Oryctolagus cuniculus: one gene and its partners. The protein of the gene in region 1 interacts with the protein of each later gene in a pairwise test. Links are inferred from orthologs where the notes say so. Each region holds a gene or a part of one and is shown on either strand. Other genes may lie near its edges. The genes, in order: SATB1, UBE2I, PIAS4, TOPORS and PIAS3.

Evidence for each region.
Region 2: the proteins of SATB1 (region 1) and UBE2I interact in a two-hybrid assay, tested with the Homo sapiens proteins (3 studies listed by BioGRID and IntAct). The link is inferred for Oryctolagus cuniculus from reciprocal best matches to the Homo sapiens genes SATB1 and UBE2I.
Region 3: the proteins of SATB1 (region 1) and PIAS4 interact in a two-hybrid assay, tested with the Homo sapiens proteins (2 studies listed by BioGRID and IntAct). The link is inferred for Oryctolagus cuniculus from reciprocal best matches to the Homo sapiens genes SATB1 and PIAS4.
Region 4: the proteins of SATB1 (region 1) and TOPORS interact in a two-hybrid assay, tested with the Homo sapiens proteins (2 studies listed by BioGRID and IntAct). The link is inferred for Oryctolagus cuniculus from reciprocal best matches to the Homo sapiens genes SATB1 and TOPORS.
Region 5: the proteins of SATB1 (region 1) and PIAS3 interact in a two-hybrid assay, tested with the Homo sapiens proteins (2 studies listed by BioGRID and IntAct). The link is inferred for Oryctolagus cuniculus from reciprocal best matches to the Homo sapiens genes SATB1 and PIAS3.

The regions. Positions count from the first base shown.
Region 1 is NC_091435.1:154,005,652-154,011,489, reverse strand, and holds the start of SATB1 (DNA-binding protein SATB1), read left to right. Parts: upstream 1-2,193; 5' UTR 2,194-2,332; intron 2,333-3,471; exon of another isoform or gene 3,472-5,838. UniProt on the Homo sapiens protein: Crucial silencing factor contributing to the initiation of X inactivation mediated by Xist RNA that occurs during embryogenesis and in lymphoma.
Region 2 is NC_091450.1:33,711,272-33,717,144, reverse strand, and holds the start of UBE2I (SUMO-conjugating enzyme UBC9), read left to right. Parts: upstream 1-2,021; 5' UTR 2,022-2,287; intron 2,288-2,470; exon of another isoform or gene 2,471-2,627; intron 2,628-2,774; exon of another isoform or gene 2,775-2,927; intron 2,928-4,421; 5' UTR 4,422-4,430; coding exon 4,431-4,496; intron 4,497-4,580; coding exon 4,581-4,664; intron 4,665-5,201; coding exon 5,202-5,274; intron 5,275-5,873. UniProt on the Homo sapiens protein: Accepts the ubiquitin-like proteins SUMO1, SUMO2, SUMO3, SUMO4 and SUMO1P1/SUMO5 from the UBLE1A-UBLE1B E1 complex and catalyzes their covalent attachment to other proteins with the help of an E3 ligase such as RANBP2, CBX4 and ZNF451.
Region 3 is NC_091447.1:59,294,107-59,300,221, reverse strand, and holds the start of PIAS4 (E3 SUMO-protein ligase PIAS4), read left to right. Parts: upstream 1-2,330; 5' UTR 2,331-2,462; coding exon 2,463-2,489; intron 2,490-6,115.
Region 4 is NC_091432.1:195,919,439-195,924,791, forward strand, and holds the end of TOPORS (E3 ubiquitin-protein ligase Topors), read right to left. Parts: intron 3,589-5,353; coding exon 673-3,588; 3' UTR 70-672; downstream 1-69. UniProt on the Homo sapiens protein: Functions as an E3 ubiquitin-protein ligase and as an E3 SUMO1-protein ligase. Probable tumor suppressor involved in cell growth, cell proliferation and apoptosis that regulates p53/TP53 stability through ubiquitin-dependent degradation.
Region 5 is NC_091438.1:49,037,968-49,042,983, reverse strand, and holds the end of PIAS3 (E3 SUMO-protein ligase PIAS3), read right to left. Parts: coding exon 4,869-5,016; intron 3,877-4,868; coding exon 3,743-3,876; intron 3,663-3,742; coding exon 3,494-3,662; intron 3,309-3,493; coding exon 3,175-3,308; intron 3,037-3,174; coding exon 2,999-3,036; intron 2,528-2,998; coding exon 2,261-2,527; 3' UTR 1,863-2,260; coding exon of another isoform or gene 1,845-1,862; 3' UTR 1,414-1,844; downstream 1-1,413. Other genes in the region: NUDT17 (nucleoside diphosphate-linked moiety X motif 17), read left to right, coding at 220-318, 499-635, 921-1,077. UniProt on the Homo sapiens protein: Functions as an E3-type small ubiquitin-like modifier (SUMO) ligase, stabilizing the interaction between UBE2I and the substrate, and as a SUMO-tethering factor.

The DNA of each region.
Region 1 (5,838 bases):
CAACTCAGCATTTTGGTAAATTGAGGCAAAAGGGTCTGTCTTTTGGATAAATTCCAATTCTAATGAATTCAATATCCATATACAGGGGAAAAAAGGGGGGGATATCAGAAAGCAGTACGAATACATGAGTTTTCTCCGTTATTTAGAAAAACACACAAAATTACAGCACAGTGGATGCATTCCTACTAGGGCTTGAAAGTGGAACCAACCCCTGTGTAAAAGATAAAATAAGACTGCATGGATCTCAGGATTTTCCCAGCGTGCTTTATTCATAGGCATCTGAGAGGAGCAGGACCTGGCAGAGCTTTTAGGAAGCGCTGGATTCTCAGCCCACTCTTTCCAGGAACTTCCCTGTGAACAGTGCTCTGTGCTGGCAGCATGGAAATCTTTAGCAATCTTCCTCCTGCTTCCATAGTTTCTCTCTCTCTCTCTAAATACAATTATTTATGGGGACTTAATGAGCGAGCAAGCCTGTGCGAAAGGAACTGAAGAAAGTGCAGCTTCCAAAAACACAGCCAGGCAGCTCTACAGTCTTTATTGTTACACCCTGCCGCTCTGCAATGCTTATCAGGAATCACAACTCCATTTCTCGCCAGACACACTTGCACGAAGGGAAGAAGTAGAGTCTGCTTCCCCTTAACTTTAGGTAAACAGTAGTAATGTTCTGTTGTCATACTCAATGCAAATTTCCCAAAGGCGACACGCACAAAAGACCTGTTAGCTGCCTTACAGCTGGGGGCAGGAATGGCAGGGCAAGGAGGGAAAAGTTGATGGAGTTCCAGTTTATCCTTAGCCTGGGGACTGGAGCCTCCAGGCACCCGCACCCTGGTGGAGCAGAGGTCTGTGGAGTTTCCGCCCCGCTCTCGAAAGGTTCCTTCTCCTCTCCTCTCCTTAGCCCCCTGTCCAGGAAATCCTCATCTCTTCCTCCCTCTTTGCCCCCAGCTTTTGGGGGGACTCGAACCTCAGCTTAGGCGTTCTCATTCCAGTGGGCTCAAAAGTGCAGCCGCTGACATAAGGAGGAATATTGAAACAAATGGGCTGGGGCACACCGCTGGGGTCGGCAAGCGAACCCCTCTGTTCTACCACCAAGCGCCGCTCAGTTGGGGTGCAGCCCTCCAAGATGGGGGTGGGGGTGCTGAGTGGGACGGGGGTGGGATGAAGAGAGACGGACGGGCCAGGCTGAGAGGGAAAGCGACCCTCTAGGAAAGATCTCGACCGAACACTGACGGGAAAAAAAAAAAATTGGCCCACATGCCCCTAGTGGGGAGCGATGCACCCCACGCAGGCTGGGAGGGGGGCGCATCGGGGCCTCGCACCTGACTTCCTCCTCCACCGGCACCCACACCGCTGACACCCCCTCTCAGTACCCTCCCCAAAAGCCCAGCCAAACAACGAACAACAAGAGGAAGCCGCAGGCGGCAGAGGAGGGGTGCGCGTGGTGGGGCCCGGAGAGGTGAGGGGGCAGGGGTGGCGGGCGTCGGGAATCGTGCCGCGCACCCCCGAGCGCCCACACTTACCCCTAGCGGCCCAGGGTCCGTTCTTCGCCGCTAACCCCGGCGCGTGCCCCTCGCCCACCCCGGGCCCTCCAGCCCCCGCCCCCACCCCGGCCGGCGCGCTGGGAGGGGGCCCGGGAGCGGCGCGCGCGGCGGCGGCAGCGGCGGCGGCGGCTCGGGCTCGGCTCAGCTCGGGCTCCCGTGCGCCCAGGGCTGCCAGCGGCCGCGGAGGCTCCCGCCGCCAGGGGGAGAAACCGGGGCGGGTGCTGGGGAGGCGGGCCGGGCCCCGGCCGGCCGCCCCGCCGGGCCGCCCGCGCCGCGCCAGCTCCGAAGCGGCGACGCGGGGTCCGCCGAGCCCCCGGGCGCAGCGAGCCGGCCGAGGCGCGGCGGCTGGATGCGCGCCCGGGTGGCTGTGGCCTCCCGCGGGGGCGCCCGGCCGCGGCGCTGCGCCTGCAGACTGCGGGCGCGGCGACCGCCCAGCCGAGCGCGGCTCCCGCCGGCCCCTTCCCCCGCCCGCCCCCGCCGCCCCCTCCCCCTCCCCCTCCCCCGTTAACATCTCCTCCCTCCCCCCCCTGCTCTTCCTTCCCTCGGCCCCGCGCGCTCGCTCGCTCCTCGCTCCTCGTCTCGCTCTACCCTTTAAACGCCCACTTCGGAGGGGGAAAAGAAGGCAACTTGAAGTCAAGTTGCGATTAACTTCCGCGGCAGCCGCAGCTCGGCGGCGGCGGCGGCTGGGGAGGCAGAGCCGCCGCCTCGGAGTCGGACGCGGGCGCGCCCGCCCGGAGCCGTGCCTGCTCTCGGCCGCACTCGACGCCACCGCCGCCCCCAGCACCCATGCCTGAGTGAGTTCTGTTCCTTTGCCTCTTTTCCCCGCTGCTCCTGCTCTTTCACGGCCGTGCCTGCCTCTTTTTCCGGGATCGACCCAAACTTCTCTGCAACACCCACCCCCGCGCCCCGCGCCCCGTGCCCCGCGGCTCGGCTCAGCGCTCGCGGGCGGCCGCCGGGGCCCGGGGGCTCGCGAGCCCCCGGAGGGGTGCGCCTTCCCGGGAGGGAGAGCGGCGGGCTGGGCACTGGCCGCCGCCGCCGTTCGCCCTCTCCCGAGGTGTGGACACGCGCACACACCTGCCCGGCAAACTCCCTTCAGGTCATCGGTCCAGCCCCTGCCAGAAGAGAAACCGGGCACGGAGGAGACCAGAGGACGCGGACGGGGAAAGGGGCAGGCTCTCCGCGCGCCCCGGACTGGGCGGGCTGGGGAGAGGAAATGTGCCCCCGCCGGCCCGCCGGCCCGTGCAGCATCCCTGGCCGGTCCATCCCCGCCTCCTCTGCGCCCGCTGGCGCGGCTGGCCGCGAGCGGCGGAGGCGAGGGGCCTGGGAAGTTTGTGGCAACTTCTCCATCCTGGGAGCCGCTCGGGCGCCTGGGCGCTCGCGTCGGGGCCGGGAGTTGGAAAGCTGCAGCACTCCGCGCCTCGAGCCCTCGCGGGCTTGGCTGCGGCGAGGCCGGTCCCGGAGGGGCTGCGGCGTGGATGCAGGTTAGGAGGCAGGGCGCGTGCTGCCCTCGGAGCGGGCATCGGGACGTCACAGGTGCAGCCACGAGGTCCCCTCCTGCGGTCAGGACCTGAGCGCGGCGGCCTCCTCCAGGTGCTCTCCCCTGCCGAGACTCCGGGGCTTGGCAAACCACGAGGAGAGGGAAGAAGCAGGCAGGTGGCCAGCCCGGGGAGGGGCGCGTGGCTGCGGGGAGGGGGGGAGGGAGGCGGGGAGCTGGGCGCGGGAGGGGGGACGCTGAGCAGGACCCTCCCGAGGTGACCCTAGAAGACGGAGAGGGCCGAAGTGCGTGGCACTCGGGTTGGAGGTTCTGGCTCCGGCCTCCACCGGGGCGTCGCACATCTCCCTTCCGAGCGTCAGCCACGGGGTCCTGTCGCAGAGTGCTCCGGTTGGCCACTTTGACCCCTGCGCCCGTCCTCGGAGAACTTTCTCCAAGACAGCCCGGGGTTTCCTGGCAAATGCTCTAAGACTGGAACTCCACGTAGTGGTTTAAAAAAACAAAAGCAGGGACGACAGAAAGATCTGATGCTGGCAGGGAGGGAACCTTTCTTTCCGGACTGACTGGGCTTCCACGCCTGCATCCTTGGAGGCCCGGGACCTGAGGTTCCCCAGAGGACAGAGGAGGGGGGTGAGAGTAAGTCAAGAGCGGGTTTTGTCCTTAGCAGCCCCTGATATCTGCAGTGTTTGTGCTGCGGACAGAGTAACTCGTCCCGTTCAAACTTAACTGACGTCGACACCCTATCTAAGGTGGATTTTTCCGAGATGTCAGGAATGTGAGGTTTATTCTATATTCAAATGTAGCTGCTAGATAAATAAATAAATAGGCCCCGCACTTTAACTCTGGAGAAAGCCAAGGTTGCAAGTATTTGCTTTGAAAACCTGCAGTCCCCTACGTGGTATTAGTGTGATGGTTTAGCAGCCGTCCTTTATTTCTATTGCGTATTATTTTAGTGGAACAGTAGTACATTCATATACTGGCTGCTCCAGTCTGCTGGCAAACATTAGCATTCAAGCTTACATTTTTGACAAATGTGCAGACAGGAATAGCATGAATAGGCATCTTAAATATTAACAACCTAAGCATCTGTTGTGAAACAAATTTAATATATTTACTCTGTTTTTCTCACATTGTTAGGAAAGGTTATAATAAGTGCATAATTTCAACTTTAGTTAGCAGAAGTAACTGGCTGTATCTTTCACTACCTCACCAAGTGTTTAACACAATCACCAGACGTAAATACTTTAATTAACTTGGTTAAGCTCATTATTAAATACACTTTAGACAATGTGCATGTCATGTAAAATGTAACTGTAGCAAAATATGTATCCTACTTGTGCACATTTTAAATAGCTATGCACTTTATAAATATACCAAATGTTTATTCTTCATCACCATTTGACACTTATTACTTCATATTTTTTCTAATGGAAACAGTATTTTAAATGTAGAGTTGTTCAGTCATATGTAGTACATAATATGTAAGCAGTAGCTATAAAATCCAAAGCATTGTTAAATTTGAATATAGCTACATGTAACAGGATAATACAAGAGAAGTAAAATCAATACTCAATTTTGTATTCCCTTCTGAAGAATAATAAATACAGATGATGAATAAAAAAAAGAATAGGGGCTTCCCTCCTAAAGTGCAAACTCCTTAAAATGTGTGTGCTGTGGGGGTGGGAGAGGGAAGAAATAGATAAGACTTAAAGAACTTCCAGAAGTCTGAATAGTTATTTTCAGAATCAATGCATTCCTCACTTTCCCACAAGTTGAAATATGTAATAAATAATAGTTCTTTGTATGTAAAAGTATTCAAAAGGAATGCCTTTTGTTCAGTTGTTGTAATAAATTAATATATTCTTTGGTTGATAATCTAGAAAACCAGTTCTTTTGTCTCCTAGCATCTTAAACAAGAACAGCAACAAAATGATTATTTGGTTTATTGCTGCAAAGAAGTCTGTTGCCAGCCATATGAACCTGTGGTTGACTATGATAGGATATGCTGAGTGATGGTTAGGAACTCCAGTACATTAAATTAGCAAAGATTGAGATATCTAGAGGAGAATTTCAGCTCTTTTCTTTTCTTTTCTTTTTTTTTAATGTAACAGGTTGTGGATTGTAAATTAGGCCTAAAAGGTCAGGTGACAGGCACCTGTTCCTCATTATTGTAAAAATCTTTTGGTTACAAACACTATTAAGCTAAACACAACATGGATATACAGCAGGGACTCTCTAAAGCACTCTAGTGATTTTTCATCTGCTCTGTAAATTTCCAGAAGGGCCATATATAGATATGCCCTTTACACAAATACATCGTTTCTTCCATACATGTTGTCTTGGATGACTGTAATTTATGTTATATTAGTACTTGGAATTGATGAAGTATGTAAAATAAATGCATGTGACTAAATCAATCTTCAGATTATGTCTAGACATATTGCAGTCAAAAAGTGTATTTTAAAACACCTCCTTTTCTTATAATCTATTGATTAATTACCAGAATTTTTGTTCGTATTTTAAATAGAAACCTCCCAAAATTGCCTTTCATACTGTTTAGATGAGATGTATTCCCATTTTAAATGTGCCATGAAATATTTTTTGCTTGATACTCATATTTAAGGAGGAAATCAGTTGCTGTATATCTCCATAGCTTTGTGGCACACACAGGAAGCAAGCCACATTTTACATGAATGCTGTTAGAAAGGGTATCATCATTTTATTTTCAAACTTGCTGCTTCTCCTGGGTGTGTTCGGCAGTATTTCCATTGGAATTAGGGAAAGTGGTTTGATTTTCATGAATGGTTT
Region 2 (5,873 bases), on another chromosome or scaffold:
CCGACGGTCAGCGCCCGCCGAGCCGCCCCGCGCCGCCCGGGGACCCAGGTAAGTCCGCATGGCGAGGACAGCGGGTCCATGCCCGCAGCGGTGTCCCCCGGCACTTGAAGCCCAACGCGTCCAAGGGGGTCTGCGCGGTGCCCCCTGCGGGGAGGGCGCGTGCGCAGTTGGAGCCCCTCACCTGGGGTAGGCACACCTGGGCGAGCAGTCCGGCCGGGGATGCGGCCGGCGCCTCGCGACAGGGCGCCAGGAGCCGGCCAGGGTCTGCGGGTGGGCGCCAAGGGCGCGCGGGAAGGGGGCGTGTGCGTGCGTGGCCCGGAGCGGGGCCGAGACGCCAGGTGTCGCCGGTGGGCCCGGTGGAGCAGAGGAGGAGGCGCACCTGGCGCCTGTAACAGCCTCGCGTTCCGCGTGTTCGAGCCCTGCCGGGCCTGCGCGCGTCCCTCCCCTGCTGCTCCCCTCCCCGTACGAGCGGGATCCCGGCTCCAGGCGCACCGCACGGCTGGATTCGCCCCCGGTTCCCCCGCGCAGCCAAGCATCCGGCTGCCCACCTGCTGTGCAGGTGCGAGGTCCCGCGGGGGAGCCGCGCGAGGGCCACCCGGGCAGGTAAAGGCGCCGCAGTCCTGTAGGTGCGGAGGCAGACGGACCCCTGCCCCCGGGGCGTTCCGAGAGCGCCCGCCCGGCCGCCCAGGGGCCGGGGAGGAGCCCCCGCAGGCGACTTTGGGCGGGCAGCGCTCGCGGGCAGAGGCCGGAGGCGGGAGCGGCGCAGGTGCGCGAGGCCCTGTCTGGAGACGGAAGTGAGGCAGCCGAGGCCCAGGCGGGAGCGCGCGGCAGGTGCGTCCCGCATCCGGGCGGGGCGCGGCTCTGGGGCAGGGACAGCGCTGCCCGCGGTCACCAGGCGGTGGGCAGCGAAGGGCGTCCAAGGGCGGCCACGGGGAGGAGGGCCCGGCCTCCGCTCCCCCCGGGACACAGCCTCTCTGCGCGCTCCTCCCTGGGCGGGAGTGCGAGGCGGGGTGGGCCCGCGGTCGCCGGCTGTCCTGGGACGCACACTCCCCCCCCCCCCGAGGGTGGGCCCAGACCCCGGCTCCGCCCCCGGCACGGGGTCGGGACGCACCTGTTCTCGGGAGTTCTGGGTTTTGCTCAGGTGTGGATTTCTGACCAGCCCCCCAGCCCGGATTTGTGGGTGATCTGTGGAGGGCTGCCCCCCAAGGCGGGGCCGGGGCCCTCACCCCCCCCCCCCAGCCTCAGTGTGTCCTTTGAACCTGGCCCATCTGAGGTGGGTTCCCTGCCCCAGGTGTCCCCGTGTGGAGGACCGCGGATCCGGGACCCCTGAGCTGACCCCCTCCCACCTGCAGACCTGGGCCCCCCAGCTCCCCCTCCCCACAGACCTGGGCCCTACCCCCCCCACCTGCAGACCTAGGCCCTGCCCCCCACCCCTGCCCATTGGGACCCCAGGGCCGCGGTCCAGCGGCTTCTCCACGGCCACACAGCCCAGCGCAGACCGCGGGGAAGCTGGGACCGGGACCTAGGGGCGCGGGGAATGAGGGGCGTCTCTGCCCCCTCGGGGGTCTCCGCCGCTGCCGCCAGGCCTGTCAGCCACGTTCCGTGTCCCGGCAAACCAGAGCTGCGAAGGCTGCGGACGGCGGAGCCTGGAGGAGGGCGTGAATGAGTGCCTTCCAGGCCCTCTGCGGCCGACCCCATCGCCTGGCCCCGGGCGCCCACCGCGCCGACGGCTCGGACGGCGCCCTAGCCCCAGGGGCGACCCCGCCGTGCCCGCGCGGGACGGCGCGGACCCGCGAACCGCGCGCTCGCGCTCGTGGGACGAGACCGCGCGCGGGAATCCCGGCGCGCCCCTCCCCCAGGCGGGACGGCCCCGGGCTAGGGAGCGTCGGCGCTTCTCCTCCCGTCGGTCTGGCGAGCGTCCGGCCTTCCGTACGGCGTCAGCTGATTGGGCGGATCTGGACGATGCCCCGCCCAGGCCCCTGCATTGGCCAATTGCAGGGGGTTTCACAGGACGCCAGACTCAGGGGATTGTCGCCGTCCTGCGCCGTTTCGGGCATCCGTAGGCCTCAGTGGTCTTTGCCCCCCGGCCCCGGGCCCCGGCCCCAAGGAGACCTCCGGAACCTACGCGCTGAGACGCGCCCGCCGGGCATCCGGGGAGCCCTTGAGGAACGCGGCGCGCCCCTTCCCCGGCTGCTCGCCGGCGTATCCTCGAGTGCGCCCGCCCGCCCCGAAGGAGAGTTTGCAGACGCTCCCTCACTTCGAGGACGCGGCTCCTTTAAGAGCACAGGTGTCCAGGGCGCCGCCTGACTGGAAAGTCGCCCCCGGGCCGGGCTCCCCGACGGGACGCGGGACGCGGGCGCGCGGCGGCGGGGCGCGGGCGGCGAGGAGCGCGCGGGGCCGCGGGCGGCGCGCGGCGCGGCGCGGCGGCGGCGGCGCGCGGCGCAGGCGTGCGGCGGGCAGCCCCGGGCCAGGCCCCGCCCCGCCGCCCCGCCCGCGCCGGGGTCCTCGGCGCTCGGGGCTGCGCGCGGAGCGGGCTCCGGAGGGAAGTCCCGAGACAAAGGGAAGCGCCGCCGCCGCCGCTCGGCCCCCGCTCGTCCGTGACGCTCGCCGGGCCGCGGCCGCCCGAGGTGAGCGGGGCCGGGCGGGGGGCCTCGCGGGCTCGGGCCGGGCCGTCGGCGGCCCGCGCGGGGCGCGAGGCGGGCGCCGCGGCCTTCCGGGCGGCGCGCGGCCTCGGGGTCACGGCGGCCGCCCGGGCCGCGCCTTCCTCGGGCCGCGGGGCTCGCGGGGCCGCCCGGGAGGGCGCCGGGAGCGGCCGGTTGCGGACCAGCGGGCGCGCGGGGGGCTCCGCCGCCGCCGAGGGAAGTTTTCCTGCGCGGCCGAGAGCGCCCCGCTCGCCACGGGCGGCGGGCGGCTCCGTGCCGGCCAAGGTGAGGCCGTGGCCGCGGCCCCCAGCCCCCTGCCCCGCCGCGGGGGTCGCGCGTCTTCGGGGCCCGGAGCGCGCCCGGCCCTCCGTCCGCCTCCCGGGGCCTGTGTGGGCCGCCTGCCCCGCGCGGCGCCCCGGCCCTCTCCCGCAAGGCCGCTGGCCAAGCCCGCCGCTGTGCCTTTGTCTGGCGGGGCGCGGGGGTCCCGGGACGGGGGTCGGGCGCAGCCGAGGGAGGCGTGGGGTGCATGCCCCAGAGGGCCCGTCCGCGGGTGCGGGAGGGCCGAGAAGGGCCACGGAGGCGGCCGGTGCGGGCCGCGGCAGCCCACCTGTCCAGCGCGGCTGCGTGCTGAGACTGAGGCCGGGCGCCCGGCGCCGAGCAGGTGCGCACCTGTGGCTCGGCCCGGACGGGCAGCGCCGCCCGCCGCGGGGGTCTCTGTGGGCGGAGCTCTTTCGGGCCCAGCACGGGCAGGGGTGCAGTTCTGATGCGCTGGCTCGGGAGGGCGGGTTGCAGCGGGGAGGGTGTGAGAGGCGCACAGGAGCCTTGGGGACCGACGTCGGGCTCCCCGCGGCCCCCAGGCCCCTGCCGGCCCCTGCCCCGTGCTGTGCTGCCTGCTTCCGGGGACCCCAGGGCGCCCGGGGCTGGCTCGCGCGCTGCCCGTGCAGGTGGAGGCTGTGGTGAGCCACAGGCAGGTGTGCTGGGACCGGGCCGCCACGCCTGTTCCCGGAAGGGGCCCGGGCTGGGGCGCCAGGTGCGGGAAGGCGTGGCAGCCTGGCGGCGGCTTCGCCTCTTTAAAGGTTTATTTATTGTCAAGGCAGAGTTAGAGGTCGCGCAGCCGCTGGTTGGCTCGCCCAGACGGCCCCGTCGGCTGGGGCTGGGCCGTGTGGAAGCCGGGAGCCTCTTCTGGTCTCCCACGCGGGTGCAGGGGCCCAAGGCCCTGGGCGTCCCCCCGCAGGGAGCCGGCTGGGAAGTGGAGCAGCCGTGGGCTCAGCCTGCAGCCGTGCGCGGTGTGCGACGGCCGGAGGCGCCGGCACTCAGGAGCCCGAGGACCGTGGTCCTCGTCCGATCGTCTGTGGAGGTCTGGCTCTCCTGGGCTCTCGCCTGCTGGGTTCTGGGATGCCGCCCGCCCCGGGCAGAGCCTCCCCCTCTAACCAGTGCCAGGTGAGCCGTGGAGTGGCTCTGTAGCCAGGGACTTGGAGGGCGACACCCGTGGGTTCCGAGGACGGGGCAGACAGCAGCTGGTGGAGTCCAGGCGCGGCGGCCTGGGCCCTGGGCTGTGGTCCTGGACCTTGAGGGCCGCTGTGGCCGGCCCTGGTCAGGGCGCTGGCCCTCGGGTCCGGGGCGCAGGCGCCCTGCGTGGGGGAGGCCAGGCTGGGGCAGCGGCGCTGGGCTGCCCCCCTCAGCAGCGCCGTGCGCCCGCGGCCTGAGGTGTGGGGCCCTCCCAGCCTGGCGTGACTCGGGCTCGTGGGAGTGGGGCCCTCACGGCGCCCGTGTCCCCAGGACTGGAACATGTCGGGCATCGCCCTCAGCAGACTTGCCCAGGAGAGGAAGGCCTGGAGGAAGGACCACCCGTTTGTAAGCAGAGCCCGCGGGCGGGGGCGGGGGCGGGCGGGGCGGGGCGGCCTGAGCGCCCGGGGACTCCCCTGCTTGTCCACGCAGGGCTTCGTGGCTGTCCCAACCAAGAACCCCGACGGCACGATGAACCTCATGAACTGGGAGTGCGCCATCCCCGGCAAGAAGGGGGTAAGCGGCCGGGGCGGGGGGCGGCGGCAGGACCCCGCGCTGGTGGCTGGTGGCTGCTCCGAGAGGGAGCTTTATGTCTCGCGGTCCCTGACCTGGCAGTGGCCTCAGCTCCAAAGCCCCACCCCTGGCTGGAGAGACTGGCAGGGCCATGCGGGGGGCGGGGGCCGTCTGCCTGCCAGGGTCTGCGTTGGCAGGAGGCTGGGACTCGAACCCAGTTCCCCACGCGGGATGGGGGTTGACCACGTGGCCCAGCTCTCCTCGCCCCTCCCGATGCGTCACGGTGGCCTCCTGGTCGGGAGCCGCCGGCCCCAGGGTTTACTCTGCAGCGTGGGCTCAGCCTGGCGTGGCTGCCTCCTCCCTCGGACAGGACTGGACTCTGCCCCGGGGGCTGGTGGAGCCATGGCGGACCTCAGGGAGAGGGCTGCTGGCCGCGCTCGTGCCCGAGCCCCGGGTCCCCTGCAGCCCGGTGCAGCCCTGCCCGGCCCCTCCGAGGCCCCGCCGGGCGCCCGTGGCCCCTGACCTGGTCTGTCCCCGCAGACGCCGTGGGAGGGCGGCCTCTTCAAGCTGCGGATGCTTTTCAAAGACGACTACCCGTCCTCGCCCCCGAAATGTGAGTCGCCCGGGGCCCGCCGGCCGCCTGCGCCCACACCCGCACGTGGGGGTCCCTGCCCTGGTGGGAGGGGTGGTCTGCTTGACCTGCAGCTCTGTGGCTGTGGGGGAAGGGGCTGGGAGACCCGGGTTCTTAGTGGTTGTCGACGAGGTCCCTGCACTGACACCCAGTGCCGCATGCGAATGGACCCCCAGCCGTGGCCGCTCCAGGGGTGGTGGGCAGCGCAGGGACGTGCAGGGAAAAAAAGGCTGAGGACACGTTCAGAGTGGACAGGCACTGCCCGGGGTCCACGCGGGGTGGGTTAACGTGGGACAGCCCCGGTCCACGCGGGATGGGTTGACACAGGACAGCCACGGGTCCATGCGGGATGGGTTAACACAGGACAGCCCCCGGGGTCCATGCGGGGTGGGTTAACGTGGGACAGCCCCGGTCCACGTGGGGTGGGTTAACATAGGACAGCCCCCGGGGTCCACGCGGGATGGGTTAACATGGGACAGCCCCGGTCCACGCGGGATGGGTTAACACGGGACAGCCCCGGGTCCACGCGGCATGGGTTGACACGGGACAGTCCCAGTCCACACGGGATGGGTTAACACGGG
Region 3 (6,115 bases), on another chromosome or scaffold:
CTGTCTTTCTATAGTTTTCCAATAACATAAAGTCCTGATAGTTTTGTTACAAATGACATCATTTAGATGTTGCTTGAAATTTTTATTTAGAAATAATACAGGGGCCGGCGCTGTGGCACAGCAGTTTAACGCCCTGGCCTGAAGGGCGGACATCCCATAGGGGCGCGAGTTCGAGTCCTGGCTGTTTCACTTCTGATCCAGCTCCCTGCTGTGGCCTGGGAGAGCAGTGGACGATGGACCAGGTGCTGGACTCCTGCACCCGCGTGGGAGACCTGGAAGAAGCTCCTGGCTCCTGGCTCGCATCGGCACAGCTCCGGCCACTGCGGCCAACTGGGGAGTGACCCAGCGGATGGAAGACCCCCCCCCTCTCTCTCTCTCTGCCTCTCCTCTCTCTCTCTCTCTTTCTCTCTGTCTCTCCTCTCTCTGTGTAACTCTGACTTTCAAATACATAAATAAATCTTAAAAAAATACTGCAGCCACTTATTCCCTTATTTATTTGGGGGGGGTAATCAAGAAATGGAGAGAGAATTGGAGAGCCTGGCCACCTTCGAGTTCACCTCCCAGCGCTTCTCATTTATTTATTTATTTATTGACAGGCAGAGTTAGACAGTGAGAGAGAGAGACAGAGAGAGAGGTCTTCCTTTTGCTGGTTCACTCCCCAAATGGCCACTACAGCCAGCTCTGTGCCGATCCGAAGCCAGGAGCCAGGTGCTTCTTCCTGGTCTCCCATGCGGGTGCAGGAACCAGGATCAGGCTGGGACCAGGATCGGGGCTGGGACAGAACCAGGGCCGGGACAGGACCAGGGGTGGGACAGGATCAGGCAGGGACAGGATCGGGGCCGGGACAGGACCGGGGCTGGGACAGGACCGGGGCTGGACAGGATCGGGGCTGGACAGGATCAGGTCCGGGACAGGATCAGGGCTGAGACAGGATCAGGTCTGGGACAGGATCGGGGCTGGGACAGGATTGGGGCCGAGACAGGATCGGGGCCGAGACAGGATCGGGGCTGGACAGGATCGGGGCTGGGACAGGATCAGGGCTGAGACAGGATCAGGGCTGGACAGGACCAGGCGGGGACAGGATCGGGGCTGGGACAGGATCAGGTCTGGGACAGGATCGGGGCCGGGACAGGATCGGGGCTGGACAGGATCAGGGCCGGACAGGATCGGGGCTGGACAGGATCGGGGCCGGGACAGGATCGGGGCCGGGACAGGACTGGGGCTGGGACAGGATCGGGGCTGGACAGGATCAGGGCTGGGACAGGGCTGGGACAGGATTGGGGCTGGGACAGGATCGGGGCCGGGACAGGACCAGGGCTGGGACAGGATCGGGGCCGGGACAGGACCGGGGGTGAGACAGGACCGGGGCTGGGACAGGATCGGGGCTGGACAGGATCGGGGCTGGACAGGATCGGGGCCGGACAGGATCGGGGCCGGGACAGGACCAGGGCCGGGACCGGGGCTGGACAGGATCAGGCCGGGACAGGACCGGGGCTGTGCCCTGTCTCCATCAGCTGTGGTGCTGCGAACACTCCTGAGCCCAGGTGAGCACACACAGCGGAGGCTGACCGGCCGCAGGTTCCGGCTGAGAACGCGGAGCCCACGGCCAGCGCGGGTCTCTCTTCCCAAGCCGCTGCCATGGGTGGCACCGTGGAAGATGACGCCTGGGACGCGCGCAGCCCGTATGGGAGTGCTGGCTCCAGCTTCGGCCCGGCCGCGGCCCTGGGGGGCCGGGATGGAGCTGCTGCCCCCACCCCCGGCTTCAGCCTGCTGGCCCTGGCTGCCTCGGAGCTGGGCAGGTCCCAGCCGGACAGGGACCCAGGGCTCGCCGTGGACACCGGCCCGCGGCGCCCCGGGGAGGGGGGTCCCGCGTTCGCCCGCCCGGGCCCAGCCCGGGGTGCAGCGCCCGCGCCCCAGCTGCGCGCCAGGACCCGGATGTGCAGCGCGCGGGGCGCCAGGGGCGCTGAGCGCGCACCGCGCGGCGCTGCAAGGCGCCCACTGCACGCACTGGCGGCCGCAGCGGTTGAGCAACCGTCCCCTCCCCCGCCGACGCCGGGGAGAGTCCAGGCACGCACCTGGCGACCGCCGCGCGCCGGGAGACGCGACACCTGGCCGCATTGTTGTCGCCCGCCACCGCCCCCTCCCTTCGTCCCTCCCCAGAGGCGACCCAGCACCCGGCCCCACCTGCGCGCGGCTCCTGCCCCTTTAAGAAGCCAGACCACGCCAGGAGTGGGCGTGGCCTCCGGGATCAGAAGGGAGGGGGGCCGCATCCGGCTGTTCTGATTGGCTCGAGGCCCGGGCGGGGCCGCAGGCGCTTGCGCAGTGAGTGGCAGCGCGCGCCGTGGGGGGAGGAGCGTGCGCGGGTGCTAATTGGCCCGAGCGGCGGCCCCGCCCGCGAGTGGCGGTCGGTCACGTGACGCGACGGCTGGGGGCTCCCGGCGCGGGGGACGCTGGTGGCCAAGATGGCGGCGGAGCTGGTGGAGGCCAAAGTGAGTGAGCGGCGGCGGCGGCGGCGGCGGCGGCGGCCGGGGCGGGCGGGCGGCCGGGCGAGGGGGCGGGGACCCGGCCGCAGGCCGCGCTCTGCGCCTTCCGCTCTGGCGCTCCCGGGGCGGCCGGGTCCCCCCGGCCCGGCCCCCGCCCCCGGCCCCGGGGCTCAGGGTGTGGGCGGGGGGCGGGGAGGCCGGGGGCGGGGTCCCAGCCTCACCCCCGCGTTCCCGCCCGGAGCCCGTCCGGGACTGGAGGCGGGGTTCCGTGCAGCCCACCCGCGCGGCCGGGGGCCGGGGACCCCTGCGGAGCGGGCGCAGGGCCGCGCCTCCCTGCGGACGGCCCGGGCTTCCCGCTCGACTCCTGGGCGCCGGCCGCGGGTGTTCGCGCCTCCCCGCTGCGGGGCCGTTGGGGGCCGGCGGCGGGGTCTCGAGCCCCCACGCCCCGGCCCGGCAGGTCGCGACTCCGGGTGCTGACCCCTCGGCCTCCAGTGCCGGCATGCGGGTGGGGGGTCCGGGCGCGGGTCCGGCCCCCCGTGTGGGTCCCGGAGCTCCAGCCCCTCCTCCGTTCCTGCCCAGGGACCCCCCCCCCCAGGCGCCCCGGGTTCAGTGTCGGGCGCTGGGCCCCGCCGCGGGGCCGGATTTGGGGCTCGGGGTCCCCTCTCCCCGCCCCCCCTGCGCACCCTCCGCGCAGGCCCCTCCCCCCGGCGCCCCCGGGGGTCTGGTAGACACGTTTCTCTAGCGAAAGTTGTGGCGGTGCGCGCTCCGTGTGCGTAGACGGTGCTCTCTCCCGGGTCCGGGACCTCATTGAACTCTGTGGGGACAGAGCCTAGCGCCAGCGTCTCGCCTGCCCCGGGTGCCCCCCCCACCCATGCAGCACCCTGGCCTCTGTCCCTTCCTCTCCCAGAAGCCACCAGGGAGGCGGGGGCCCCTGCGCGAGGCCCCGGCCTGTGAAAGCTTAGCCCCGCGCTGAGGTGTAGACGCCACCCCCCCCCCCCCCCGCGCGGTGCAGCCCGTGCCTCGCCTGGGCCGGGGGCTGCACTGGGCTCTGACCCCCGCGGGGCGCGGTCCCGTGCAGGGCTGGGGGCCACAGCGCCCGCGTGCCCTCTGCCCCCGCCTCGCGGTGCAGCCCGTGCCTCGCCTGGGCCGGGGGCTGCACTGGGCTCTGACCCCCGCGGGGCGCGGTCCCGTGCAGGGCTGGGGGCCACAGCGCCCGCGTGCCCTCTGCCCCTGCCTCGCGGTGCAACCCGTGCCTCGCCTGGGCCGGGGGCTGCACTGGGCTCTGACCCCCGCGGGGCGCGGTCCCGTGCAGGGCTGGGGGCCACAGCGCCCGCGTGCCCTCTGCCCCTGCCTCGCGGTGCAACCCGTGCCTCGCCTGGGCCGGGGGCTGCACTGGGCTCTGACCCCCGCGGGGCGCGGTCCCGTGCAGGGCTGGGGGCCACAGCGCCCGAGTGCCCTCTGCCCCCGCCACGCACGGTGCAGCCCGTGCCTCGCCTGGTCCGGGGCTGCACTGGGCTCTGACCCCCGCGGGGCACGCTCCCTGTGCAGGGCTGGGGGCCGCAGTGCCCCGTCCCCCCGCCCGCGTCCCCGCTGCCCCCGCCACGCACGGTGCAGCCCGTGCCTCGCCTGGTCCGGGGCTGCACTGGGGTCTGACCCCCTCGGGGCGCGGTCCCGTGCGGGGCTGGGAGCCGCAGCGCCCCGTTCCCCCCACCCCGCGCGGTGCAGCCCGTGCCTCGCCTGGGCCGGGGGCTGCACTGGGGTCTGACCCCCTCGGGGCGCGGTCCCGTGCGGGGCTGGGGGCTGCAGCGCCCCGACCCGCGAATGGGTGCAGATGTGGCCTGGGTGCAGGGGGCTGTCCTGGGGAGGGCGTGACAGGCTCGGCTGATCCGGGGGGCTCCTGAGGCAGGTTTGGGGGTGCGGCCTGTGGGGTCGCTGTGCTGAGAGTTCACAGCCTGTGCAGGTGTGGGGGGCCACTGTCTGCTCACAGAGCTCAGGGGGCCGCCCCGGGCGGGCTCCCACCCAGGCCCCAGGCTGCGCTGTTTGCGGGCAGAGGTCTGGTGGGGGTGGGCCGTGGCCCCGGGCGCCCCCTCCGCCTGCCGCGGTCACGCGCAGGTTCCTGGGCGGCGGCGGCGAGCAGATGGCAGCGTGAGGGCGCCCGCGGCTCCGGATGTCCAGCCCGTGCGGGGGACTCCCGCGTGCAGCGCGGTGTGCCAGCCTTGAGCCTCTTCCAGAAGCGACATCTTGTCCACAAGCCCCCCCCCCGCCACAGGAAGTCAGGCCGGGAGGGGCGGCGTCTCTGACCCCAGAGCTGGCCGGCACCCCCAGGCAGCGGCCCGCTGGACAGCGACGGCGCCCAGGCTGAGTCCGAGGAACCGTGGGAGACTCCGGGCAGGCCACGGCCCCTTCCCGCCCCCGTTTCCCCACCTGCCCGAAGGGGCCGGGCGGCCCGGAGCCCCCTGCGGGAGGAGCCGCTGAGGCTGGCTGAGGGTGGGCGCAGCCAGGGCCCCGGAGCCCGTCCTCGGGGCCTCACTCCAGCAGCCGGGGGCGGGAGACCCCAGGCCGCCAGACGCTCGGGGCAGCCGGCCGTGTCCCCGCGGCGGCCCTGCTCTCTCCAGGCCCGGGCACCTGCTTCCCCTCTGCCCCTGGGGGTCTCTCACCCAGGCCGGTGTGGGGGTTAGTGCAGCGTCCTGCCGGACAGCCCAGCTCAGACACAGGGCCCGACCTCGCCGGTGAGACCGTGCCCGCCCGTGGGCCCTCTGGGCGCTCCGCTCAGCCCGGCTGGCCCCGGGGACAGAGCCAGGCCCAGGGGACAGAGCCAGGCCCAGGGGACATCCGGTGTTTTAGAGTGCGCCCAGCGCCCACGATGGCCTTACCCGGACAGCCGTCTGGGCCAGTGTCCGCCCTCTGCGGGGGGGCACCGAACGGGCTGGGGCAGTGTAGGAAGAACGCAGGGTGTGGATTTGAATCCCGGCGCTGCTCTCCCGAGTGGACGCCTGCTGTGTTAAGGGCTATTTTTTGTTTGTTCAGAAGAGTTACTGAGAGAGGTAGAGACAGGTCTTCCATCCGCTGGTTCACTCCCTGGTGGCCACTGCAGCCGGAGCTGGGCCAGGGACTTCGGGTCTCCCACGCGGGTGCAGGGGCCGAGGACTTGGGCCATCTGCTGCCTCCTCAGGCCACAGCAGGGAGCTGGATCAGAAGTGGAGCAGCCGGGACTCGAACCGGCGCCCATAGGGGACCGTGGCACTGCAGGCCGGGGCGTTAACCTCCGTGGCTCTTTTAGGGGTCACAGCTCCGTGCGTGGCTGCCCCTGCCGTGGGCTGACCGCTCTGCCTGGCAGCTCTGGGGTGGCCGGGCCCGTGCCTGGTAGCTCTGGGGTGGACTGGGCCCCATGCCTGGCAGCTCTGGGGTGGACTGGGCCCCATGCCTGGCAGCTCTGGGGTGGCCGGGGGCCCCGTGCCTGGTGCCTGGTAGCTCTGGGGTGGCCGGGCCCCGTGCCTGGTGCCTGGCAGCTCTGGGGTGGCCGGGGGCCCGTGCCTGGCAGCTCTGGGGTGGCCGGGGGCCCGTGCCTGGTGCCTGGCAGCTCTGGGATGGCCTGGGGGCCCGTGCCTGGTAGCTCTGGGATGGCCTGGGGG
Region 4 (5,353 bases), on another chromosome or scaffold:
TCACCTATGCTTTAGATTTTGGCTCTACCATTTTTTTTTAAAGCAATACTGCATAGGAAAATTTGTGAATTCTTGTTTTAAAGTGTTACCGTTTTATTTTTTTCTTCCTTTTGTTGAATACACATGTGTTTTACTGGCAGTCCAGATAAACAAGTATATAAAGGAAAATACTAAATTTTTCTGACAGAAGATAAACTGTGCAGATTAAAATGCCTTCTCAATTTATCCCAAAGAAATAGTTTTGAATCATACAAATTTTTAAGAAAAATAAAGACTGCCCAAAGGGATTCTCCTAGCATAACACATTTCCAGAATAACTCTCAAAATAAAAAAAAAATTCAAAAATACTCATTGACTACCTTAAAAATGTCAATACCATATGGCTTTATGAAATAACTTCTAAAATTTATACGTTTTTATTTAAAAAGGATCCCAAGTTTTAAATAAACTGCTAACAATATCTTCTTCACTTAAAAGTGCATATCTCAGAGTGGGACATACATAACTTTTTGAACAAATAATGATTTTTTTACAAATTAACACAAAAAAATCACAAAATATTTTAAGGGGAAAGTTTTCAATCTAAAGTCATCTTTAAATAGACTGTAATAGATGACATTGTTCTTTTTCCTTTTTATACCATCAAAACTCTCAATGAGATGCTTTTAAGACCTATCCGTCTCTACCAAGAGACACTGACATTAATGATGTCCGTGGAGATGGCAACTGCCTTAATGGCTCAGACTGAAGAGACACATTACTGGGCTGGTTCTCCAAATCAGAGGCAAAGGTGCTCTCTTCTCTCACGTCAAGAGTTTGTTCAACTGAAGTTGCCTGGGGTGGAATAACATCCACAGTTTTGTTGCCATTATTTAAGTTGCTAGTAAGTGTGGTAATGTCACAGTCTTTATCCAGGACTCCAAATTCATCTTCTATTGTAACAACCTCTTTAGTTTCGAATGGTTCCAAGGAAGGAGCCAAAAACTCATTATGTAGAGGGTCTGGAAGACCATTATTGTCATATTCTGTATCTTCTTTGACTTCAGAATCCTTATCACTGTCACTGTCAATGGTAATAACAACTGGGGACCGTGAAGTATTATCTCCATGGTGTTTCTTATGCTTCTTCTTGTGTTTCTTCTTTTTCTTTTTATGATGTTTAGCTGTATCAGTAGCTTTTCCTTCATAAACTATCTCCACACTTAGGCTCCTGGTTTTCCTTTTCCTCCTCTTGTGTTTTGTCTCTCTGTCTGATGATCGGCTGTCTGAAAAGCTATCACTCTCATTTTTATAGTTTCCATCCAATTTTGATGAAGATTTTTGATAATGGCTATCCTTCACTTTAGAAGCAAACTCACGGGACGGTTGAGCCACTTCATTAGTACCCTCCAAATGCCGTGTTTTATATTTTCGTTTCCCACCAGGCTTTTCATTTCTCATTCGGTCAGGTCCTGTAGATGCAGTCCTTGATCTATTACTAGACAGGCTCCTTGATCTGTGCCTTTCATAATAGTAATATTTCCTTTCATTGTGATTATTCTTTTTCCTGGCATTTCTTTCAGAAAAAGACTGAATTCTAAATTCTGGACTTGAAGATTGTCTGGAATAGTGGGCTCTAGACAGAGTCCTCCTCCTATAAGATGATTCATAGCCATCCCTGTCCTTGTTTCTACTATAGTAAGTATATTCCCACTTGTATCTGCTTCCATAATTATTTCTTAAATAGTAACGATCTCTATTTCTGCTCCGTGATCTTCTTCTCCCATGATCACTGCTACGAGACCTTGATCTGCTTGTGCTTTCACTACTTAGAGAGAGAGTTTGGCTTCTTCTTGACCAACTGCTATCTCTAGTTCGTGATCTCTTTTTGTCTCTTCTCCCTCTAGGTCTACTACTCTCCCTGCTTCTGGATCGTTTGCTCTTCACTCTTTTCTTCCCATGATGTTTTCTATGATTTTTCTGATCATGCCCACTTCTACTTTGGGACCGTGAATCTGAACTTCTTGATCTTCCCCTCTTCCTGTGTCTATGGTTATACAGGGAATTTACTCTGTCTCCTCTCAGGTCTCTGGGAGATGATACTGATGTAGATCGTTTTTCTTCCTTCTTTGATTTGATTCTTGTACCAGAATCACAACGGCCTTTATTCATTTGCTCATTCTTTCCAAGGACAGAGCGTGGAGATGAACATCTACTCACATCACTATCACTGGAACTGTAAGACTGCTCTTGTTCTTGTGCCTTCACTGTCTCCATTTTCTCATACGAGCCTAACTCCTCAGAATCAGAGGACAGTTCAACAAGTTCTGGGGTCCGCTCAGCTAGTGGTTTAACAAACCCAACGATGACACAATTATCTGAAGAATCATCACTGTCATTATTTAGGTCCTCATTGGTTTGCACACCTTGTATCTGAGATGTGGCTCCGCCTGTGACAAGTTCTTCATCTGAGCTGTCCGAAGTATTTAAAACGGAAGACATGGCAACATGTACCTGCTCTGAGCTTGAGTAAGATGGTCCTGGAGTTTCATCATCCCACGGTGCCTGACTAACAGTGGCAATGTTCATATCCAGTTCTTGGGTCTCGGCTTCATCTGGAGATATTGTTATGACTGAAGAATCAGAATGGCTGCCTTCTTCATATGAAGGAGCAGGGCAATCATAATTGGCATGTTGATCAAAAGCTGCCATATTAAAAGGAGATCGAGCAAAACTGATAAATTCATGTATAAAATGCTCAGTTCGATTAAGTAAAAATGGCCTTAAGTCAGACACAAACGCCTGACTCTCCAAGTCATAGCGAGTCACATTACTCATGATGATGTGCTGGACAATATTGACTAAAGATCCATGAGCTCCAAAAAGAACTGTGAGCTCACGTTTTAGCCAGGGGACTAATCTATGAAGGCAAGCTGGATTTCTACGGAAAAATTCTGCTGAGATATCCCTGTAGCGGCCACCATCTTCAATATTTCTAACTCGAGCACCTGCACGATAGAGAGTTCGTCTAAAATTAATAATATCTTGTTCTTGAATTTTCCGTAAAGATCGTTCATCTGCATTAGTTGGCCTCCTTATTGCAATCTGTCTCATAAATTGAGGAATTTCAACATCTCTAGGTCTTGCTGAAATGCCTAATCCTTCAAATAGTACTCCACTGTCTGGCGGAGTGGTTGTTCTTCTATTCACGGTGCTACTAGGTGAATAAACAGATGCATTCCGCTCCCTTGTCATGGTTGTACGGTAGCGAAATCGCCGAACATCAGGGGTAGTAAAGGAACCATTATATGCAGGCCTTAAGACATACTCCTTAAAGTCATCTTCTGCCCTCACAGAATGGAAAATAGAATCAAAGGGCTGTTTACATAGTGGACATTCAGCTTTGTTTTTTGACCACTCCTGTACACAGCGAAAACAGAACTTATGTAAGCAGCGATCTAAGTAAGACACATTATCAAATCTATCCAAGCATATAGGACACTTAGAATCAGGAGATGCATCAGCTGGTACTGTCTGCTGCAATTTGCTAGTGCCAGCTTTAGGTGAAAAGTTGTCCATTTTAAATTCTTTAGCAGCTGATGCCATTATCTGTAAAAGGGAAAGAAATATATCAGTAACCTGAAAAAAAAGAATGACTAAATAATCTGAACAAAAATGCAATAAAGACCTTGGAACATACTTTGGTGAAAATACCTGAATGGTTTATAGCATAGGAATATATAGTAACATACAGCACAAGCACTAAAGTTAGATTTCCTGGTCTTAAATCCTGGTTGCATACTATCAGTGTGACTGTGGACCAGTTACTACGCATGCGCTTTACTTTCACCTGTAGGTCAGTTATAATAGAACCTGCCTCCCAGGGTCTGTAAAGATGTAAAAAGACATTAGAAAAGGTACCCAGAACTTAATAATCTCTTAAATATTACGTAATATTCTATTTTGTTTAAAAAATAATTTAACTGGGCTGGCACTGTGGCGCAGCGGGTAAAGCCGCAGCCTGTAGTGCTGATATCCCATATGGGTGTAGGTTCAAGTCCTAGCTGCTCCACTTCCCATTCAGCTCTCTGCTATGGCCTGGGAAAGCAGTGGAAGATGGTCCAAGTCCTTAGGCCCCTGCACCCACATGGAAGACCTGGAAGAAGCTCCTGGCTTTGGATCTGTACAGCTCCAGCCATTGAGGCCAACTGGGGAGTGAACCAACAGATGGAAGACCTCTCTCTGCCCCTCCTTCTCTCCCTGTGTAACTCTGAATTTCAAGTAAATAAATGAATCTTTAAAAATATTAATACTAATAATTTCACTGAAAAATATTTCATATATACCCAAAAAAGATCAAAACAAAATATTCCAAATACCCATGTATCTACCACTCAGATTTAACACTTTTCATAGTTGCTCCAGATTTCTTTTATTCATTCCTCTATCTCTAAGAGAAAAAAAAACACAACCTTCAATTGATACTTTTTTTTTTTTTAATTCAACAGGTAGAGTTATAGACAGTGTGAGAGAGAGAGAGAGAAAAAGGTCTTCCTTCCGCTGGATCACTCCCCTTAATTTATACTATTTCTGTCTATTTCCTACCTTTCATGCACATATGCCCTTAATATTATATAGTATTGATTTACTTTATGATAATATTGTATATGTACTCTTCTAAAACAGCTTTAGTGAAATATAATTTACATATCAAAGTTCACCTGTTTAATTCTATAGTTCTCAAAAATTACTTAAAAAGGGATCTTTCAGTGGAGATAAAGTCAAATAAATGTAAAAGCACTTAAGGGCAATGGCTGACTAATAGTGCCCACTGAGTACTGTTATTATTATGACTACTATGCTATTGTTATTGTACTATTATAGTCAGCATTTCTAAAAAGCCTTCCTTGCCTTTTTTATTTAATCCAAAAGTCAACACCAAGGTATCTTGAAATTATGTTTCATTTCCCTTACCTATTACCTTTTCCCAAACGATCACTAGAATCTTAAAGATTAGCTTTGTTTTCTTTATATTCATCAATTTACATAGGCTTGTAACTTATAAAATGAAGTTGTTAGAGCTGAAATCTAACACTGATTGTATTGCATCACTGTTACCTGTAGACTCTCTTTGTGCATTCGATGCTGATCATTTTGTACATGTTAAATGTTAGCTTCTTCTTTTATGTTTCTGTGGGTTTACTATTCATCTTTTCCCACCTCCTTTATCACCAAAAATTCAATCACTGATCAACTGCTATCAAGTAAGTCAAATCATAGAACTGCAATTTTCTGGCCGGCGCCGGGGCTCACTAGGCTAATCCTCCGCATGCGGTGCTGGCACCCTGGGTTCCAGTCCTGGTTGCTCCTCTTC
Region 5 (5,016 bases), on another chromosome or scaffold:
AAACACTCTGCTACCACCACGGCCACTGCCGCCACCAGCAGCAAGTCCGCAGACGCTGCCTTAGCCACAGAGGAAGTGGGAGAGGCCCAAACCCTCACCTGTGTCCCTGGTGCACCGTGTCTACCATCCACTTCCTCAGCTGTGGGCCCACCCCAGAGCTGTACTTACTAAGTCTCAGAATCAGAGACAGGAAGCCCTCTCTTTTGCCTTTCTTCTCAGTCTGCCTACCCGCCTAGGCTGAGCTGGGGTTTCCCCAAATACCATCACATTGTTCTCTATCTACTCGTCATCTCCCAGGAGTCACAGCAGCAGCTGCAGGTAAGGCTGGCTAGGGAGGAAGGAAATGGGGCTCAGGGGATCACAGGGGGCGGGGCAGAGACACCAAGAGCATCCAGTAGTTCCTCCCCTGTCTTTAAGCATTCCGCTTGCAAGTAGGCTAGTATCAAGGACAGGCCTCCCAGGGAGAAGCCGGGACTGAGGGGTCCTGTCTGACCCTAGGCCAGGATCCAACCAAACCCAAGTGAAGTGAGTGCTTTTATGTGGCTGGGACCAGATATCGCAGCTGCAGTGGCTGCCACGGAGGATGGGACAGAAGCACCCAGAATCCTCCCCGCGGACCTACCACTCTCTGTGGGGTAAGAACTTTTCCCTGAGCTCTACCCACCCCACCACCCCATTGATTTTCTGAGAATTAAGAAACCACATGAGATCAAGGACTCCAGCTGCCTAGCACGGAGGTCCAGAGTTTGACTCAAAGCTCTCCCATGGGAGCCAGTCCCTTAACCCTCCTTGAACATGCTTCCTTTTTGTAAAATGAGGTTCACAGCTAGCCACCCACCTGCTACAGTAGTTGAGAGTAGATGACCTAACATATGAAAGCCCAACAAGGCAAAGCCCAGACAGGAGCTGTCCCCATGCAGAGCAATGGAACTAGAGGAGGGCAGGGCCCGAGCCGTGGCGCTCCCCACATCCACGCTGCTGCGGAACACCCCCCCTACCGCAGAGGACAACCCGGAGAGAGTCAGCTCTGGCACCAAGTTTGCCCTCGGGCTCTGGCTACAGCAGCTGGGCCGGTAAAGGTGAGGAATGGGAGGGTTCTGTGGTGCTGGGCTGGAGTGGTCTGGTGGTGGTCTGGGCGGGGGCACGGGAGGGTTCTGTGGCACTGTGGAGTGCTCTGGTGGTGTTCGGGGTGGGGGGGCATGAGAGGGTTCTGTGGCGCTGGGCTCCAGTGGTCTGGTGGTGTTATGGGCGGGGGCGCGAGGGAAAACCGACTACTCTGGGAAGTCCTCAGTGTGGCAAGCGTGGACCCAGGTCGCAAAGGAAGAACAGAACGTGGACCCTCCTCCCCTACCCCAGCGCTCTGGAAAGGGAAGTGGGTAATCCCCTCCAGAGCCCACCTCCACGACGCTCACAGAACATTCACAACCTTTATTATGGGTGAGAAACCTGCTACAACTTTGGGAATACAAAGTAAAATTGCAACACGTATGCTGGGCCCTGGAGGGGCCCGACAAAGGAGGGCACGTGGGTCCCCCCACTTCCCAGGAAAGGTGCAGAATAAGCCAGGCCTGACTACAGGGCCACGGGCCTCTAGACGCTTAGGCCCCAGGCTAGTCAGCTTAAGAAACACTGTGAACTTAAATATATAAATAGAGACCCAGGCAAGAGGCTAGGCCCTGCTCCCAAACCCCTGGGGATCGCGGCTAAGGCCTCATCTCCTCAGTTATACTGGGAAGTAGGAGGTTGGGAAAGTCATCTTTGGAGTATTTTGGTTTTTCTTGTTTATGTACAAAATATCTGCAACCCAAAATAGAGTTCTCTGTCCATCTCTGAAATCGCCTGTCTCAGTTTCTCCATCTCATCTGCATGGCCAAAGGGAGCGGAATAGACAAGAAGAAACAATGAAAGTTTGGGTTTGGGGGATGGGAAGAGAGGGCCCCTCTGCCAAGAGGCTCTAGACAGAGTAGAGGCCAGGGGTTCAGCCCCTCCCCCCGACTCACACCCCCTCCTGTTGGCCTAGGTACCCAAAGGAATGTGCAGCCATCTGAAGACTATTTCCAAAAATAGACCCCTCCATGTCCTTGAAGAGGTTAAATATTAACCCTTTGGGTGCTGGCCTTGTCAAGCAAAGATGAGGCCACCAGTAGGTCTCCAGGAAAAGTCAGGCCTGACCTCTGACCACAGTCCCCAGAAAGGTCAGGCGGCCACAGCATACCTGCTGCGGGGTGGGGGGCAGCACAGGCTCCACAGTCCAAGGGACTCAGTCCAGGGAGATGATGTCAGACCGGCAGCCAGTCAGGGAGGGCCCTGAGGGCAGCGGGCCTCCGTGCCCCTCCCTCAAAGCCCCCCCGGGGGCCACAATGCTGCTGACCCGGCCAGGAGGAGTCGCTGGAGTGGAGCTGCGGTGTGAGCTCCCCAACGAGGGGGCCAGTGGGCCCAGGAAGTGGGAGGGGGTCCCTCGGTACTGGAAGAAGTGGCCAAGGGCATCCTGCTCATCCAGAGAGGTGATGACAGAGGGGCCGTAGTGCTGGGAGGGATCAAGGGCACAGTGTCAGACTTTACCCCTACTCAGCCCCGCCTCCTGGTCACAGGGTCCAGAACTGTTATGGGGACCCTAAGGTGTTCCCTGGGAGGCAAGAAGCCTCTCTCTGACTCTTCCCCCTGCCTCCCTGCCACGCCACCCCTTTTCCAGGCCTTGACACAGCCCTTCTGGGTTGCTAGGTTCTTGGCCTTTGTGGGTGTCTGAAATATGTGGACTGTCCAGTTGGGGCAGGTCTGGTGCTCTTAAGCATACACAGGTTGCGGGGGGGGGGGGGGGGGGGCAGGGCCAGAAGCTCACCAGAATCCCTCGGGACAGAACAGTAAGGGATCCAGGAAGATCTAAGTGGCAATCTGAGGAAGTACCAGTGCTGCCCGCACCCCACCTCCCCTGAGAAAAGCGGATCCGGGTCTCTGTGTGGGCCCCAATCAGAGCTGCACGGGAGAAGGGACCACGTACCTGACTCTCCGTCTGAAGGAAAGAAAATAAGTCTAAACCTGGGAGGAAAGGGAAAATACAAATCACCCTCCTGTCCCACCCTCTTAGCACCAAGACAGGCAAGTCTTTGGGATTCCGGCCCCTGGTGAGCAGCAAGGGCTCTGCTGGGCTCGGGGGAGTGGGTAGCAGGGTCGTACCTTGTATGTCGGCCCCCAGGGGGAAGGCAGGTGGGTACTCGTGCAGTGGGAGACTGGACAGGAAATCCCCGCCCAGTGTGCCCATAGCAGGGCTGCGCAGCACCGAAGACGGCTGATGGCCAGACGTCAGGACCCTGCGAGTGGAGAGAAGGAGCTGGGGCAGCCGGCGAACCCCAGATGCCCCACCCCGCCCAGCTCCCCAAGGGTCCTCTCTGTCCCCATTGCCTTTCCCTTGGCCCCAGGTTTGCCCGGTGAGCAGAGAGCACTACTGACTTCTGCTGTGCCCTCCCTAGTGCGGAGTCAGCCTACTTTCTCATACCCTTTGCTTCCCGGCAGGGCTGGGATGGCAGCCGAGGTGACAGGACAGTGCTTCTTGGTGGGAGGCAGATCCTCCTCATCTGAGGAGCTCTCTATTGTCAAGTCAATCACTTCCACCTTCTTCTTATTCTCTGCTGGAGCTCCCTCTTGGACTGGGCTGTACTGGGGGCCTGCAAGTGGTGAGAAGACTGTGTCTCAGAGAAAAGGCCAGCCAAGGTCTAGCTCATCTGGGGGACAGGGGGTCACTCACCATCCAGCCCATACCCTGGCGGGGGGCAAACCTCAGACGCCTCCTTCTTGGGCTTCATTGGGCACCAGGAGCCATCTTCCATGAACTGGATCTCATCACAGTCCGAACAGGAATTTAGAATCTCCATGAATAAACTGTGGGAGGGAAGAGGTGGAAATTCATGGGGCTGGGAATTGAGTGCCACAGTGGCCAGAGAGATGCAGGACTCACCTTCCTGGGCAATAGAGGGATCCTGTCCAAACTACGGGACCTCCTGGAGTTGTTGCAATCAAATAAGAGCTTTACAAACTGTATGTTTTAAAGTGAACACAAGCTGAGCCCTAGCTATGCATGGTCTAGGAACAAGACAGAAGCAGAGAGGCAGAACTCCACCAACCACCCCCAAAAAGGCACTGGGACCAAGAACCATACATAGGCTCAGGACAGGGCCCGAGACCAGCCAGATCAGCATCCCCAGGCCCTCAGGAGGACCTCACCGCCTCCTTAGTGGGAGGTCAGGGAGTCGTTACGAGCGATACACTGGCCTCTGCTGCTAACAGTGCAGCCTTGAGTAAGAATCTCCAAGCCTGAGTTACCCCCTCTGTAATGAAGTACCTACCTCACAGGGTTATGAGGAAGATCTAGTGCAATAATGCATGCAAAGTGCTTAGCATCAAGATGCCTTATCTATACTAAGTCCTTAATGTCACCACATATGTGGAGTAGTAGAGGGACACGGTGAGACGTGGGGTTCTCCTGGTGAGGAGAAATAAGCCATATGTACTAAAGGGGGTCTGGGGCAGGTGTTTGGCCTGGTGGTGAAGATGCCTGCAGCCCCTATCACAGTGTCTGAGTTCAGCTCCTGGCTCTGGCTCCCAGTTCCAGCTTCCTGCCATTGCAGATCCCGGGAGGCAGCAAATGATGGCTCAAGAAGTTAGGTCCCCTCCCTCTAGCTGGGAGATCTGGGTTGAGTTCCCAACTCCCAGCTTCAGCCTGGCCCACCAGCCCCAGCTGTTGGGGGCATTTTGGGGGAGCAAACCAGCAAATGAGAGCTGTCTTGCTGTCTGTCTCTCTGGCTCTCACATAAAGGTAAAACAAGGCGAGGTAGAGGAGATAGCCTAGGTAAAAGGAAGCAGAGTGGCCCTACCCATCAATGATAAGAGATTCATAGGGTGCCTTCTTGTCACACACAGGACATGTCCACGTTGGCTTCTTCTCATTCATCTGCAGATAAAGGGCAGCATCGAAGCTCTGCAGGTGGGCGCAGGTGAGGGCGCGACAAGGAACAGTGAGGC